Linked DNA regions of Alligator mississippiensis. The main gene of each other region encodes a partner of the protein of the gene in region 2 in a complex. Links are inferred from orthologs where the notes say so. Each region holds a gene or a part of one and is shown on either strand. Other genes may lie near its edges.

Region 1 (7,633 bases), on a different chromosome or scaffold from region 2:
CAAGTGCAAAGTCCTGTACTTTGGATGGAACAATCCCATGCACCGGCACAGGCTGGGGGCTGACTGGCTGGGCAGCAGCTCTGCAGAAAAGGACCTGGGGGTTACAGCAGAAAATAAGCTGAATATGAGCCAGCAGTGTGCCCTTGTTGCAAAGAAGGCTAATGGCATACTGGGCTGCATCAGTAGGAACATTGTTAGCAGGTCAAGGAAAGTGATTATTCCCCTCTGTTCAGCACTGGTGAGGCCACATCTGGAGTACTGTGTTCAGTTTTGGGCCCCCCACTACAGAAAGGATGTGCATAAATTGAAGAGAGTCCAGCAGGGGCAACAAAAATGGTTCAGGTGCTGGGGGACATGACTTATGAGGAGAGGCTGAGGGAGCTGGGCTTATTTAGTCTAGAGAAGAGATGACTGAAGGGGGATTTAATAGCAGCTTTCAACTACCCGAAAGGGGGTTTGAAAGAGGATGGAGCTAGACTGTTCTCAGTGGTGGCAGATGAAAGAACAAACAGCAAGTCTCAAGTTGCAGCAAGGGAAGTTTAGGTTAGATATTAGGAAGAATTTTCTCACTGGGTGGGTAGTAAAACACTGGAACAAGCTACTCAGAGAAGTGGTGGAATCTCCATCCTTGGAGGTTTTCAAGACCCAGCTGGACCAAGCCTTGGCTTGGATGATCTAGTTGGGGCTGGTCCTGCTTTGAGCAGGAGGTTGGACTAAATGATCTCCTGGGGGCCCTTTCAATCCTAATTTTCTATGATTGTATGATTATGAAGATCGTAAAGTCATGGATTAAATAGGAAATGCCAGGATTAAGGTTGCCTGTACATTTTTAATTACACAATCACATCCCATTTTTCATTCAAAAAATGCTGCATCTTTTAGTGCACAGTATGGGCCAGCTCTGGGGCTGGATGAAAGCTGTGTAGAATTGATTTCTGTTGGACCTCTCTGCTTCATGTTCTGTGTAAGTCTGGGCAACTGCTTGCTTAAAAAAAAAAAAAAAAAAGCAAACTGAAAAAAATCCCTAAACATTCAATAACATGACATAATGTCATCAGCAGGTTTGGTACCTTTGAATCACAGAGACTTCAGCCACTTGAGCTAATCAAGTAACTGATAGCAGTGGTAGCTTGTTATCCTCTGTGTGGACCAGCACCAGTGGCGGATGGGACACTTTGCCAGGGTGTTTCACAGATATCTGATGACAGCAGAGGGATTGTGAACTCAAGGACCCTGTGCTCAGGTCCAGAATCTGGAAGCGGGGCTGTTCCGCACCCACAGATTCTTCCACCTCTTCCCCCTAGGACAATGATTCTCAACCAGGGTACTGCAGAATCCCAGGGTGCCTTGAGATCCTTCAAGGATGCCATGGAGTGCCAAACAAAGTTACCACTGTTAGGTTTACAAATATGATTCACAAGATAAACCCAGAGATTTCCACTAGATATTCATAGTTGTGGTCTTTCTGAGTTGTTTGCAACAGATTGCAAGTTAAAAGCTGGCATCTTCCAAGGGGTCCTCAAATCTATCCAGGGGTGCCTTGAGTCTAAAGAGGTTGAGAACCACTGCCCTAGAATAACTAGTTTTGTCCTGCCTCTCCCCCTGTCTCAGCCGTGTCTCATCACAGTCCTTGCTTCCTGGTCCCATTCTCTTCACCAGCTCATGACAAGTCTTCACTCCTTAGGCCTCTCATCCTACTCTCCTTATTCAGATAGTTGCCTGGCTCCTCATTTTCTTTTACTCTGCCATCCACCTAGTGCCTCCTAGTTTTTCTTTTGTCCTTCTCTTGCTCCCAGTCCCAGTCTCCCCACAAAACAGTTATAGTTTCCCTCTTTCACCTTCCAGCCTCTCATCCCAGTTTCTGCTTCTACATCTGTCATGGTGGGCTCCTTGTTCCAATCTACTTTGCCTCTTCTGCACATCCAAGTCTTGTCTCCTCTGCGTTTGAATCCATTGGCTTCCTCCCCTACTCCACATAGATCCATCAGGAAGGGCACTGGAGAAATGGTCTCCCTGCTCCCAGCTTGGGTGCCCAGACCCACACCTGACAAGGCATGGCTCACAACAGATCTGAGCTTCTAGTTTAGGGCAAGCCTTACTCAGCCAAGGGCTAGTATCTGCCTAGCCCAGATGGAATCTTTGAGGAATTTATTCACTAAAATCAAAGTCATCTCTGCAGAGCACATGCAAACTGCAAGAGCCTTTAACCTTGATCAACTGTCAGTAGTTTTTCACAGGGACAAAACAGGTAATATTCCTGATGAAAGTCCTGATCCCCAGGAACCAAATCCTTCAAAATTAAAGGCACTCTAAATAATACTCTTATATTATTATTGCTGCTTCACACTTTGTCACCAAAGTATCCTGAGAAGCCAGCTCTTGTGGAATTCATGCTTTTCAAAATACGTTATAGATCAGGGAGCAGGACAGGGAGATACAGCACTCGCTTGCCCCAGTGCTGCCTGTCTGGATCCATACTGCTGCCCACTCCCCCTACCGTGCCATTAGACTCAGACCCATCGCAGCTGCTGCTGGCTCTGCAGATCTGGTCCAGGAGGAACTTCCATAATCCAGATCTGGCCTCGGGCCCAGGATGAGTTTGACACTCCTGATCTAGTCTAACCCCCTGTCTGAGGCAGGGATCATCCCGATCCAAACTATAGAAATCCATTGCCTAACTGGTTAACAAAACTATACCATCAACCCTGACAAAAAGCAAGACAGCACCCTAATATGCTACACACAGGCAGAGCAGGGGGACCATCATAGCCAACATCCTCCTAGTGGAAAGGTTGTTAAAATATGCTCCAGACATCCTAGGTAGAGGGTCATCCCCTCCGCTGCAAAGGAAGACAAAAACGCCCACAGTCTACATCCATCTGACCACAGGGTAAAATTCCTTCCTGACCCCAGATATGATGATTGGTCTGACCCAGAGCCAAGGGGCAGGACTCTTTAACCAGGAACCTCTGGGTTTAAATCGCAGCAGAAGCACTGGCACGTCCTAGTCAAAATCTCCAGCTGTGGCTGTAGCCAATACCCAATGCTTCTGAGGAAGTCTTAAAAGAAAAACCCTGAAGCATGTAGCAGCAGGAAGGGGAAAAAATCCCCTCCCAGCTGCACACGGTAACCAGGAAAGCCCAGAAGCATGGGAAAAACTCACAGCAGAACATAGCCAGGGGTTCTCAAGCTTTTTTTAGACTTCCTCATTCAACCCTCAGAAAATGCCAGCTCTTACTTTTCACTTCTTTTTTGACTACAGAAAAATAAGGGAGCAATCCTTCTGTTGCCAAGGGCTCAGAAAGACTGCAAGAAATCTTAACAGCACAGATTTTTATTGGCAATCTTCAGGTTTACTTTTACACATCCTGCTTGTGTAAGCCTTGCAGGACTAACACCATGGGGAATCTTGAGGCAGACAAGGTTCCTTGGGTGAATCTGATATCTTTTATTAGACCAACCCAAATAGTTGGAAAATAATTATTAAGCAAGCTTTCGGGTTCAAAAACCCTTTGTCAGGTCTAATCAAAGATATCAGGTTCACCCGAGGAACCTTGTCTGCCTATGTCCTTAGACCAACACGGCTACACGTCTGTAACTGGGGAATCTTGAGGCACCCCAGGGTGCCACACACACCCCCAGCGGAGAATCAGAGTGGCTGCTATAGATCCTCCCAGACCTATCCCTCCACTGATGGAGAGTCCACACCTTTAGGGTGTGGTGGGGGTTTCTGCTTTCAGCTGAAGGGCTTGGAAACCAAGGCATCTATAATTTCCATCTGAAACCCAGTTTCTGTTCTCTGCTGAAGGGCTTGGAAGGCACGAAGCTGAAGTTGGGTCTTTCTTCCCTGCCCCTTTCTCAAAGCTAATCTTTACACAACAAAAAGGTTGTTGGAGTGAATCAGACATGCTAAAAAGCTAGAAGTTCATCCGAAATGTATCATGAAAAATGTACTGAGCTTTGGGCCAGACACCACCCTGCTCAGATTTTTTCCGGTGGTGCAGGCACGTGGGCTGGGGCGCCCTGAGGAGGAATGTGCCCCATGACCCCAGCCCAATCTCAGGGCTCCATAAATGAGCTTCTTTTCCATTTTCTTATTAGTCAATCTCCATTTCTGACGAACTCTTTAGCCACGTCTAACTCTTTGCTAACAACCTTTCCCTGTGTAAAGATGAGCTTTTGAAAAGGAACCGGGAAAAGGCACCAACTTCAGCCTCGGCCCCTGCCCTCTCCGCTCTGAAGGTGGCTGGTCCCAGCGGAACGGCTCGGCGGGGGGGGACGCGGGAGGGAGGCTCGCCCGGCAGCGGCGGCGGTTGCAACGCACATCTGGAAGGGGGCGAGGGCGGCCGCGCGCATGCGCCCCGGCCCCCTCTCCTGCTCCCCTGTGGCGGGGTCCCGCCGAGGCGGCGGAGGGTGGGGCTCCCCGCCGAGGGCGGCCGCGCGTGCCCCTGCACAGTGCCCCGGCGGGTGAGTGCGCCAGCAGGGGGCGCCCCTGCCTGGGGCTGGGGTCTTGCCCCGGCCTGGAGGGTTTGGGGGGCACGGTGGGTGGCCCCTTGCCCCTGGTGCTGCCCCAGCCTGGCACCTGCCCCCTGCACGGGGGATTTGGTGTTGTGCCCTTTTGTTGTGAGGATGGGTGGCTGTGGTGTGGCGGGGGTGCTGGAGGGATTGGCATCCACTGATTGATTTCTGTATTTGGATGGGATCAATGTCCGGCTGCCAAGCCTGGAGTTAGCTGCCATGCTTAAGGGGGAAGGAAAAAGATCTCGGAGATGTTAAATCCCTAAGACTTGGCCGGACTGTTTGGGGGGTGGGAGGCAGAGCTAGAAAAGAGCCCGCGGGTGGCTCGGCTCGTCGTGGCTGTCCAGGGTTTTTCACTTCTCCAGAGCATAAAGAGAAAACCCTTTGCGCCGAATGCCGTCGCATGCTGTGGAGGGAAGGGGAAGGGGGCCGTGCCGGGTGCCTCTGAAACGGTGGCAGCATTGGAAACATCATCGCCGTGTGCTTCCGCTGGTTCATATCTGTGTTCCTCAGGAACGCTTTACCCTTTGTCCTAGGCGAAACACAGGCCCACAGAGCCTTGCTTCTCCGCGTCCGGTGGCAGCGTTTTATCTTCTCTTTTGTCCTCTTCGGTACAACGCCATCTGATGTCTCATCAAGTCTAATTCCTTCCTCCCTAGGAATCGTTGAACCGTGTGAGTAAATTTTAGCGGCGATTCTGTGCTGTTTCTGTCTTACCTCTTTCTGGGTAGAAAGCCAACCCTGATTTTCAGTCTGTGAAATTTAGGATTTAAAGTGTTCTGCAGAATCAGTGACAGCCTGTCAAGATTGGGGCTAAAAGGGAGGCTGTCATGGTGTGTCTAATAAAATCGATCCCGTCAGAACAATTTATCGATCATTCTTTTGTAGAGTGGAGTTCAAAAGGCTGCCACAGATTCACTGTTTTGAACCTTGTTCTTCATAAGTGTTGTTTAGAAACAAGTTTCTGAAGTAACCTTAGCTGATGACTGCAGGCCAGTTCCAAGATTGCGTTAGTTTTTCTAGTCCGAAAACTTTCCAGAGTGAACCAGTGACCCAACCCTGTTTAGCTGTTGTAGATGTAACTTGATCTTTTGAATTGTCAGCAGGAGAAAAGTTTTTACTATATTAATTCTCTGGTTTATTAAAACAAGCTGTTAGAGACTTTCAAACATTTGGAAGTAGAGGGAAGAATTTACAATAGATCTAGGGGCAGATTTTTAAGACACAAAAGTCAGTGTGGTTCTTGGCACTCTTTGGAAAGTTATGTGCCCAACTGCTGTGTGCCTTAGAAACAACTTTCTTTTGGATTTTAAATGATGCAAAAGCTTGTTTTTTTAATAGAAAGATAAGATTGCGTGAAATACATAAGCAGCTGAAATGTATGAAAATTAAATGTATTTAGTGCTAACTCAGAACATGCAGACCAGTCTTAATTTAGTTTACAGTTTAATTATAAAATGTCTTTCATTATCAGAGCTCCTTATTGAGAACCAAAGTTGTAAATCATAATTTCATTTTCTTTAGAACTTGTAATATTACGGTTAGTGTGGGGTGTATGTTTTTTTTATTTCCTGGGCAGCATTAAATGCTGATGTAACTAGCATGTGCATGTGTGTGCATATATATGTACATAATTGCCTGTTTCTGTTGGGCAAGGCTGTATTTCTCTAGCCCAATCAATGCTTGAAATATTCTTTTGAAACTGAATAGGATATTAGCCATCATTGGCGATCAAGTCTGTTTATAGCCACATCAGATTATGAGCATACACACTTTTCTGAGCATCTCTGAACCAATTTTTTACGCAATTTTTAGTAGAACACACTTTATTCATGTACATGTAGTTTTTTGGCTTTAAGGGGTAATATGTAGTATAATGGTTGTGCAAGACCTTCATAAAGTTCTTACGGCCTCAACGTTAGAATTTCTTTTTCTTTATTTCATGGGGGATTCTGGTTTGAGAAGTTTCCTTATTTCAAGACATACCAAAGCATCTATAATTTCCATCTGAAACCCAGTAAATTAATTTTTTTTAGTAAACTTTCATGAAAAGATGTTATTTCTAAAAGCACTTCTCTGCCATCTGCCAATAGAGCATGCTTGTATTTGGTACAAATCCCAGCGTGAAGACCTGATGTCATGACAGGTTGGTTCCACATTAAAGCCACTACCTACATCATCAAAACGGGTTTGAAAATTAACTATTGTAAATATTCTTATACTGTAAAGCTTAAAATGTTGATAGGCTGAAAGAAGGAAGTTTCCAACCTGCACTTAGCTCAAGAAGCACTGGCTGACTTCTGTATCCAGCAACAAAAAAAGTGGATGCACCTTTCTATTCCAAGGTCCTTGTCTGACAAACTGATATAGTTACTTAGTCTGTCTTGGCCTCAGTGACACTAATGTGACTCTGGCAGATAGTTTAGTTTAGTTTTGTGGGCAATATTGCTCATTATAAAGCTTGTGGGGATTTTGGATCACTAGCTTTGTCCCCCCCTAATTACACTTTTATTTGCTGTCACTATGAAAGTATTTGTTTATTTGTCCCTATTGAAATTCTAAAATAGCATTGATATAAGCATGTTGTTGCCTGTTTTAATACATTTTGAAAATTAGTTTAATCTAAACTGGCATCTAGTTTTGCTTGAGCAGATCAAAATTGTTTAAAGCCATTTGTGGCCAGAGGAGTTGCAAAGCATCTTAGCACTCTCCTGAGATGAGTCCTCAACAGCTCTGAACTCCATCCAGCTTTCTCTTTCTGTTCTGACAACAGCTTTTGTCTTGCGATCAAACAGGTGAAAGGAGTGTAACTGCGTACCTCTGTCCATTGATCAGCGTAACAGCAGAATTGAAGCAAGAGATATATAGGCACTGTTGTCTCAGTTTTCTCCCATGGTTTCTCCTATGCCATGCCATGCCAATCTCAAAACACTAGACAGAACTCAACCCCATATAGCCAATGCTGTTAACCTCAGTTGGAACTTGATTTCACCCCTGAGGTGTAAATTTTAGCTTGTCTGTCAGTTTAAGAAAGAATAAGATTTATTAATTTGATTATTGTGGCATCTTTAGTGAAGTGATCAGTTCTTCTTTATATGGGGAGGCACTAGCCAGG
Region 2 (7,835 bases):
CTTTTTTCTGTGAAGATGATTAAGAGATGTGAGAAGCTTAGATTAGGCCTAGTAGAACACACTTATTTAACAGGCCTATTTGCTGCTTTGAGGCTTCTTAGGGTCAGAAGGGTAGTTCTGCTACTACTCTAGGTCTATGCTATGTCTGTGTTGAATGCTCTAATCAAGAATCTGGGGCCTGGGATGGAGGTAGCATAGAGTATATATGGATACTAAACTACCCGTGTACTGAAGAAATTCCTCCAAGGGGCCTTTCTAGGCTTGTGTTCTGACCAAGTCAACTGTTGCATGGGCATAAAGTATCTGTAAAGTGGGGACAGGAGTCTGAGCCACGAACATGTTTACTGAGGTATTATATTTATGGTGATCTACCATACATTCAAGTGTAATTCAAGGCTCTCCAGAAGAAACTGCTTGTATTTCCTAGAGCTAGAAAGGACCACAGGAAGCTCAGATAAGAAGCATTTCAAAGAACATAAACAAAGTGAATGTGGTTTTAATGCTCTTGAGAGGTATACTGCTAATTTAGATAAACCATAATTGCCTAATTTTATTTGCTCTGTTTGTACACACTGCCGTCAAAACAATATTATTTTTATATTCATTGTAAGCTGTCTAATATGAAGTAAATTACTTCTGAAACATAATTTCTGTTTGAAAAATGTTAACAGCATTCGTTTAATAGATTTTTGACATATGGATGAAAGAGAAACACTTTTGTCACATAGAATAAGCTTGTCTAAGGGAGAACAAAAGCAATGTCCCTTCAAGGTACTTATGTACTTACAGTACCTGCTGTCTGAGAAAGTCCTACGCCTGCAATTTTTTACCATGAGTGAGCTAAATGGTTTGCTGTACAGCCCTATGGGGCAAGGGTTGGACATTCTGGAAGTATAACCAAAGCTAGGAGGCTGCTGATTTGCTGTTGATAGAAACAGGCATTAATTCACCTGAGACACAAGAAAACACGAAGCATCTTCCTACTCATCTTTGTCATATTAATGAAATGTGTGCTTATAACAAGGTTCCCTGACAGAAGAAATAGAATGCATCAGTACTAAGAGATGAGAGAGGGGTAAAATAATAGGAATCAAAATGTGAAATTATCATTTAATTCATGTCTGTAACACTAGTCATAAAGTAGTTGAAGTTGGGGGTGGATGGGGGCAGGGTACAGTGGTATAGATACATGCCCCATTTCAGTTGTTCACACCATGGGAGCAGCAGTTCAGTTTGTTTGTTTTTTTTAAGTTCCTGAAGCTAGTAAGAATTCCCCCCTCCCTTTTCCTTCATGCTCAGTGGCACCTCCTCTTCCCTCCCCGGCCTGCTTCTTCCACTGTCACCAGATGAACCAGTAGCAGAGGTGCTCCAGAGCATCTCCTGCTAGCTACATGTGTAGCTAGGTTCAGCCAGGAACAGGAGCAGCAGTGGGTAGGTCTGTCCTTCTTCCCCAGTCTCCGCAGTGTTCTCCACCAGCCCAGGACCATGTGCAGAGGAAGAGAACTTGCCTACTCCTGCTGCTGTTGTGGCAGCTGCCTCTGGCCAAGCCTGGCTGCAGTGGGGCAGAAGGGCTCTGGAGTTACCCCAACCCACCCCTAGGTCAGCTGGGGGCATCTGTGAGCAGGGAGGGGAAGGAGAGAGAAAGTGCTGCTGAGCATGGAGGGGAGGGGATTGAATAATTGAATAATGTTGGTTCAGAAATAGTTATAATGATTTAATAAATTTAAATAGAGATTAGAATTAGGAATTAGGATGATTTTTTTAAGGGAGTTGAATAAACATCTACATGGCATAGTGAGGCCTTAAGCCTGAGCCTTTTTGCAGGGATCTGCCTGCACAGTTTTTAGTGTTAAGTCAGGGCCTAGCTGTAAGTTTGAACAAAGAGTATGCAAGTGATCCTTGTTCATCTAAGACTGCAAGGTCAAACACAGAGAAAGAATTAAAATAGTTTTACTCCAAAAGGAAAGGTCCCTATAAAAAGCTTCCTGGCACAGCATCTAGCACCCTGCTCCATAAATCTTTAAAGTGAATTCAGTCTCAAATGTGACTCCATTGAAATATACTGTAGGATTCAGTGCTTATCTTTTCCCTATAATTTCAAATATTTCAAAGCAATTTAAAAAAATCCAAATCAGATATGCCCACTTTACAAAAAATGCATATATTTCTACCTTCCAGACCTGAAATTCAAACTAGAATTTTAAATGTTTTGTGTAATTTTTCCAGTAATAAAGATTGGATTATACAGAATAGTACAGGTATAAATTAAAATCTTAATGGAGTTGAAAAAAATATAAATAGGGACAGAACCGAGTATTTTAATTATAATTTAGGTAAAAAATCTATCATGGTTGGGTGAGAACAAAATCCAGGTCATGATCTTTCATAACATTTATGTGGGTTCTTCAGGGACAGTATGAATAATAAAAAAATAAAATAAACATTCATTGTAGTCACTTAAGTGAACAGATCGTAACTCTGAACAACCACGGTTATTATTTGTATAAGAAAGTGTCATTTCTTGGTCAATATTCTGCTTATAAGTACATTTTCAAGGTACAGCAGGATTTCCTTAAGCTTTATAATATAGATCAGGCTGGCTGCTCTCTTCTGTAGAAGGCAGTGGGACTTAATGCTGATAATCAGGATACTACCAGTATTAATTTTAAAGGCAACACTTGGAAAGGTTAAGTACTGGTTAAGTACACAACTTGAATTCTCTACTCTTAATCTTTCTCTTGGCCAGAGTTTAACTGAAAGATTGTTTGCTAAATGAAATGTATCCCCCTTTTTTTTAATGCTGGATTTGTTAGAAGAAGAGTGAGAACCTGTGAATTGTGCCTTGAGAGCTAGAGATGAGCAGGGCAATGTGAGAAACATTGAGCTGGCTCTTAATTTTTAAAATCTCTTCATCTGTGATGATATAATATTTCAGGACATTTCTACTAATCCCAGATTTCTTGGCTAGGAGAATGCAGCTGTTCAAATCATTACCCACAGTAATGTGATTATTTCAATATGGTCTTAATTAAAATCTGTTCTACTTATAGGTATAATGCTAGTTTTCCTATCTTCTGATATGCTGAAAAAACCCGAGTCTATTGTGATTTTTGAGGCATGTATTACTGATATAAGAAAAAAACTGAAAAGGCTGGGGGAGGGGAACCTAGGGAAAATGTGATTTTCTGTTTAAGCCTGCATGTGAAACATTCTTTTTAAGGCATCTTCTTTTCTAGCTTAGTGCGGTTGATAGCACCTGTTTCAATCACCCAGCGTAAGTGCTGTTGTTCGTGCAATTTGCAATATATGGTACAAAATTGTCACTTCTGCATTCATGGAGATTGGTGACACACACCTTGCGAAATGTATGCACATTGAAATAACATAGGGGCAGTCGAATGAACTGTTGTGGCAACTGATATTTTAAGGAGTCAATTTCAAACCATCTCTGGTAATAATCTTGAGAACATGGGTAGCAAAACCTCTGCTGAAGAGCTGTAATTCTGGAGTGCTGCTTCCCAGTATTCATATGAGAGCATCTTTCCTGGGAAGGTTCAAAAGGATTTTTTTTTATTATTGTTAGTAGTAGTAGTAGTAAGGGTATCATGTTATGTTATGTTAGGTCTTCACTGCTTTGTGTGGACATTAAAGATGTTTTTGAGCTTGTTGAGAGGAGGTGGGTTTGTTCTGGTAGCGCTAGTCACAACATCTAGTATTGGTGGTCAGCTGGGTACTGCTCTCCCCCCAAGAGGCAAGTGCACCTCACTGCTTCTGTGTGTCAAGGCTGGTACATCAGTACACTGCACGCAACTTAAATTTGGGGTGTGCTGAGGCTGAAAGGACAGGGCACTTGGTTTTTAATAGTGAACTTGGGGTTGAATGGTACCAACAATTTAAGACTGCATTAGTATCCATCTTGTGCCCATGCCCCACCACTTGATCATGCTTTTTTATTTCCTCCAGCATGACCAAAGTGGTGGCACCTATAGAAACGCCCCCCCCCCCCCCCCCCCCCCCCCGCGCATATAACTGAACAAGGTGGATTCACTTCAGTCCTTGCTGCCACTTGGGAGAATGGAGAGCGGCGCTTGTGTCCTTCAGGCCGTTGGTCTGGGAGCTGTGCAGGGGAGGCGCCGGCTCTGCCGCTTGAGGAGGCGCGGGGGGACCCCAAGTCCGTCTGCGCGGGACAGGACGGGACGGGACGGGACGGGACAGCTCCCGGCTCAGGCCCGCCACAGCCCCAGCCCCAGCCGTGGTGGGGGGCGCCGCGCGGGAAGGAAATAACGCGGGGCTATTCTCGGCACTAAGGAGCTTGGACGAGCGGGGGCCGAGCCGCAGGGCAGCGAGAGGGGGCGAGGGCAGAGCCATGGGGGCGGCCGCAGGTGCGGGCGAGAGGAGAGGAGCTCCGCCTCACGGCGCGGCGGGAGGAGAGGAGCGCGGAGGGGACGGGAGGGGAGGGGAGGGGAGGAGGCGGTGGCGGTAGCGGTGGCGGCGGCGGCGCGGGCGGGAGATGCCCCGCGCTCGGGGGCGGAGGAGGCCGCGTCAGCGGGGGGCAGCGCGGGAGGAGGAGGAGGAGGAGGAGGAGGCGGCGTGAGCCGGGGGAGCGCGGAGCAGGCGGCGGCGGCGGCGGCGGCGGCGGCGGAGGAGGAGGAGCAGGAGCGGCGGCAGGCGGGGGAGAGCGGCAGGCGCGAGGCAGGGCCGGCAGATGCCTGGGAATCACCATCGGATGGTTGCATGCAGCGGCTGGAGAGACTCTGTCGGTGGCGGCGGCGGGGACGAGGCAGGGACCGGGGGAGCGACGGCAAAATGAAGTACCAGAAATACCTGACGGTCTTGCAGATGGCCATCGGGGTGACCGCCTCCAACCGCGGCAGCCTCATGCCCCTCAAGCGGAAGCTGTGGTGAGTAGGCGCGGGGCGATGCGGGGCGGCCGGCTGCGCTGCCGCAGGGCCATGGCGGCGGGCGCGGGAGGGAGCTGTCCAGTGCCGCCGCCGCCGCCGCCGCCTGCGGCATCGCGGGCACCGCCGGGCGGGCGGGCGGGCGGGCCGGCGCGGGTCCCGGACACCGTGGCAGCGCCTTCCGCCACGGGCCCCGGGGGCAAGCCTGGCTCGTGCTCCGCTGCGCCTTGCCCCGCTCGCACCTCCCAAGGCTGCCTCCCTCGGGCTCGGGCTCGGGCTCGGGCTCGCACTCGGGGGTCCGCCTGGGGCTCGCCTGTGTGAGCAGGAGATGCCTCTGCCCTACGCACATGGGCATCTCGCACCGTTACCTCTGTCTCTCATGCTCGGGTAGATGAGTGTGGGAGAGAGATCCCAGTGCCAGATGGATACATCTTAATCTCACACTCAGGTGTGTGTGTGTGTGTGTGTGTGTGTGTGTGTGATACTCTGGTATCTATCTCTCTATCTCATACTCTTATCTCTCTATCCATCTATCTATCTATCTCATACTGATAACTCTCATATATCAGGGTACGAGATCTGTATAGCTCATACTTGGACATCTATTTCATACTCTTACATATCTAGCTCACCCACATGCTCCTATACCTATCTCATACTCATACATTTAAAGCCACAATTGACTCGGCACACATACGAATCTCCAAAAAGGAAGATCCAATATGTGGCTTCGATACGGTTAAAAAAAAATAACCTTTCTGTGCACCTCGTTTCCACTGGCCTTTGTGGTTTTCTGGTCAGTGAGCTGAACTGATTTCTGGAGGAATCAAAAATCCATGTTATGGAAAATATACTGTGAAGTGTCACTTTGTAAAATGTGGGCAAGGGCATCAAGCAACAGATGGCATTGCACTGTCCAGTCACTCTTTTTGACTTGGAAGGGACTGCTATCAGTTTGATTGAAGCAGTAGGACACATGTCATTGTCAGAACAAATAATATTAAGGAGGAAAAGTCACGTGGCTACAAAGATAAATATTCTGGGGAAAGTATCAGGATTTTCTATTGCATTTGTACAGCAGGGAAAAATGTTTACAGGACACGGAGAATGACACTTAAGCAGTAGTGGTCATACGATTGTCTGTCACTGTGGCCATGGTCACAGTGGAAGAGTGCAGAGTGTCAGAGAAAGAAGTGATTGGACATGCTGTTAAAAAAAGAAGATGACTCTAAAATGATCTGTTTTCAGGAGCAGCGTCTTGTCACAATTGGCAAATAGGCTCTGTCTTGAATTGGCCTTGATTTTTATATTTATATATAACCATATATATATATATATATATATATATATATATATATATATATATATATATATATATATATGTATAATTCTTACACACTCATCCGGAACAGACAACATAACCTCCTGGACATACCTCAGAGAAGCAGAATAAAATTGCTGTAGATCTGCCATTTACTGTATTTCTTCCAGAGTTTGTCTTTTTCTTGTATGTTTCAGGATATGTAAAACTGAAGAAAAAACTATTTTTACATTTTAGTATTTTTGGATGCCATCCAGGTTTGTTAGTTGCATAACTATACTTTTATATGTGCAACTACTAAGCTTTCTGTTGTTATTATTAAATCTTATTATACCATTTGTAGAAAGCAACATGATTTAAAAAACAGAAATATTGTAATTTCCAAATTAAATTAACTGAAGCATACAAAAGCGCACAAAATATTTTCCATTACAAAAATATTCTTTCATATGGATAACTTTGGTTAAATTCAGAAAACCCACTTTTGTACTGTATAAAGTACCAAGTATTTGGTTTTGATATTGTCAAAACCATAACATGCCACCACCTCCACTATTCTCTCAATAATGCATTCCTTTCAGTGTACTCCTTGTGCATCTTAAACAGCAATGTGTATAAGAATATATTACTTCTTTTAAAAAATAATTATAATGTAGCTCAAATATTGACTTTTTCTGTTTTTGTCTTTTCTTGGAATCTGATCCTGTGTCCACATATTACAGTGGAACCCTGAATATGTTTCTTTTAAAAGTCACTTTGAATGGTCCTGGTCCAGCATCCTCTGAAGTTAATGAAGTCCATTGACTTCATTAAAAGTTGGATCAGGCCTACATTTTCCAACTGTATAGCCAGATTTCTCTGCTTTGTGAGGGATAGTCAAGACAATAGAGTGGATCTTAAATGATTCACAAATGTCTGAAGGAAAAATATGCTATATTCATGGAATCCATTTACATCTGCAGCACCTCTTGCCTCTGTGTTCACATTACACCCAGTGCCGTATTATATGAGCAGTCAGGTTGGTGATATAGGTCTAAAGATCAGACAAAAATAACATGCTTTTTCTGCAGAGTAATCTGTGCCAATTACGTAAAATCATGCATTTTCTATCCTTTAGATTAGTGTCTCAAAGTGTAATTTTCCTCAGTGAATAACGTACTACAGATATCAACTTTGGGTTGGGAGCTTGGGTAGCATCAACATGACATTGTCTGTATGGATAGAATATTTACCTGTGAATGAAATAGTCCTTTCTGATGCATTTAGAAGACTGCTTAAGGGGTATTTTTAACTCTGTGATTTTAGTTTAGTTTTTATCAAATCATACATGAAACAAAGAAATTTGGTTTTTTTAAATTAGTATGCTAATTTTTTATTATCAAAGAGCAACGTAATATTACCAAAGTGCAAAGCAAAAGTAAATGCAGTTACTATATCATCTATAATCTCTCACCTGCTATAAGAACAAAAATGTACAAATTAAATTAGCTATTACTTTTTAAATGACCGAATGGTTGCATGTTCTTTAAGTTTTGAAAAATGACAGTTTCAGTATTCTTGCTTGCGTTACCATATTCCTGAGTTGCTTGGTATGTTAGTACATACTGAAGTGCAAG

Evidence for each region.
Region 1: the proteins of TJP1 (region 2) and GJC1 are in contact, whole or in part, in a crystal structure (PDB 3SHW), measured with the Homo sapiens proteins. The link is inferred for Alligator mississippiensis from reciprocal best matches to the Homo sapiens genes TJP1 and GJC1. Residues at the interface, in NP_003248.3 of Homo sapiens: Lys429, Ser432, Val433, Gly434, Leu435, Arg436, Leu437, Gly449, Val450, Leu451, Val484, Leu487, Leu488, Leu549, Asn551, Gly552, Lys553; in NP_001073852.1 of Homo sapiens: Lys391, Thr392, Ser393, Val394, Trp395, Ile396.

What each region holds. Positions count from the first base shown.
Region 1 is NC_081827.1:161,882,713-161,890,345, forward strand, and holds the start of GJC1 (gap junction gamma-1 protein), read left to right. Parts: upstream 1-4,368; 5' UTR 4,369-4,467; intron 4,468-5,054; 5' UTR 5,055-5,190; exon of another isoform or gene 5,191-5,192; intron 5,193-7,633. UniProt on the Homo sapiens protein: One gap junction consists of a cluster of closely packed pairs of transmembrane channels, the connexons, through which materials of low MW diffuse from one cell to a neighboring cell.
Region 2 is NC_081834.1:36,584,012-36,591,846, reverse strand, and holds the start of TJP1 (tight junction protein ZO-1), read left to right. Parts: upstream 1-4,719; 5' UTR 4,720-4,734; coding exon 4,735-4,901; intron 4,902-7,835. UniProt on the Homo sapiens protein: TJP1, TJP2, and TJP3 are closely related scaffolding proteins that link tight junction (TJ) transmembrane proteins such as claudins, junctional adhesion molecules, and occludin to the actin cytoskeleton.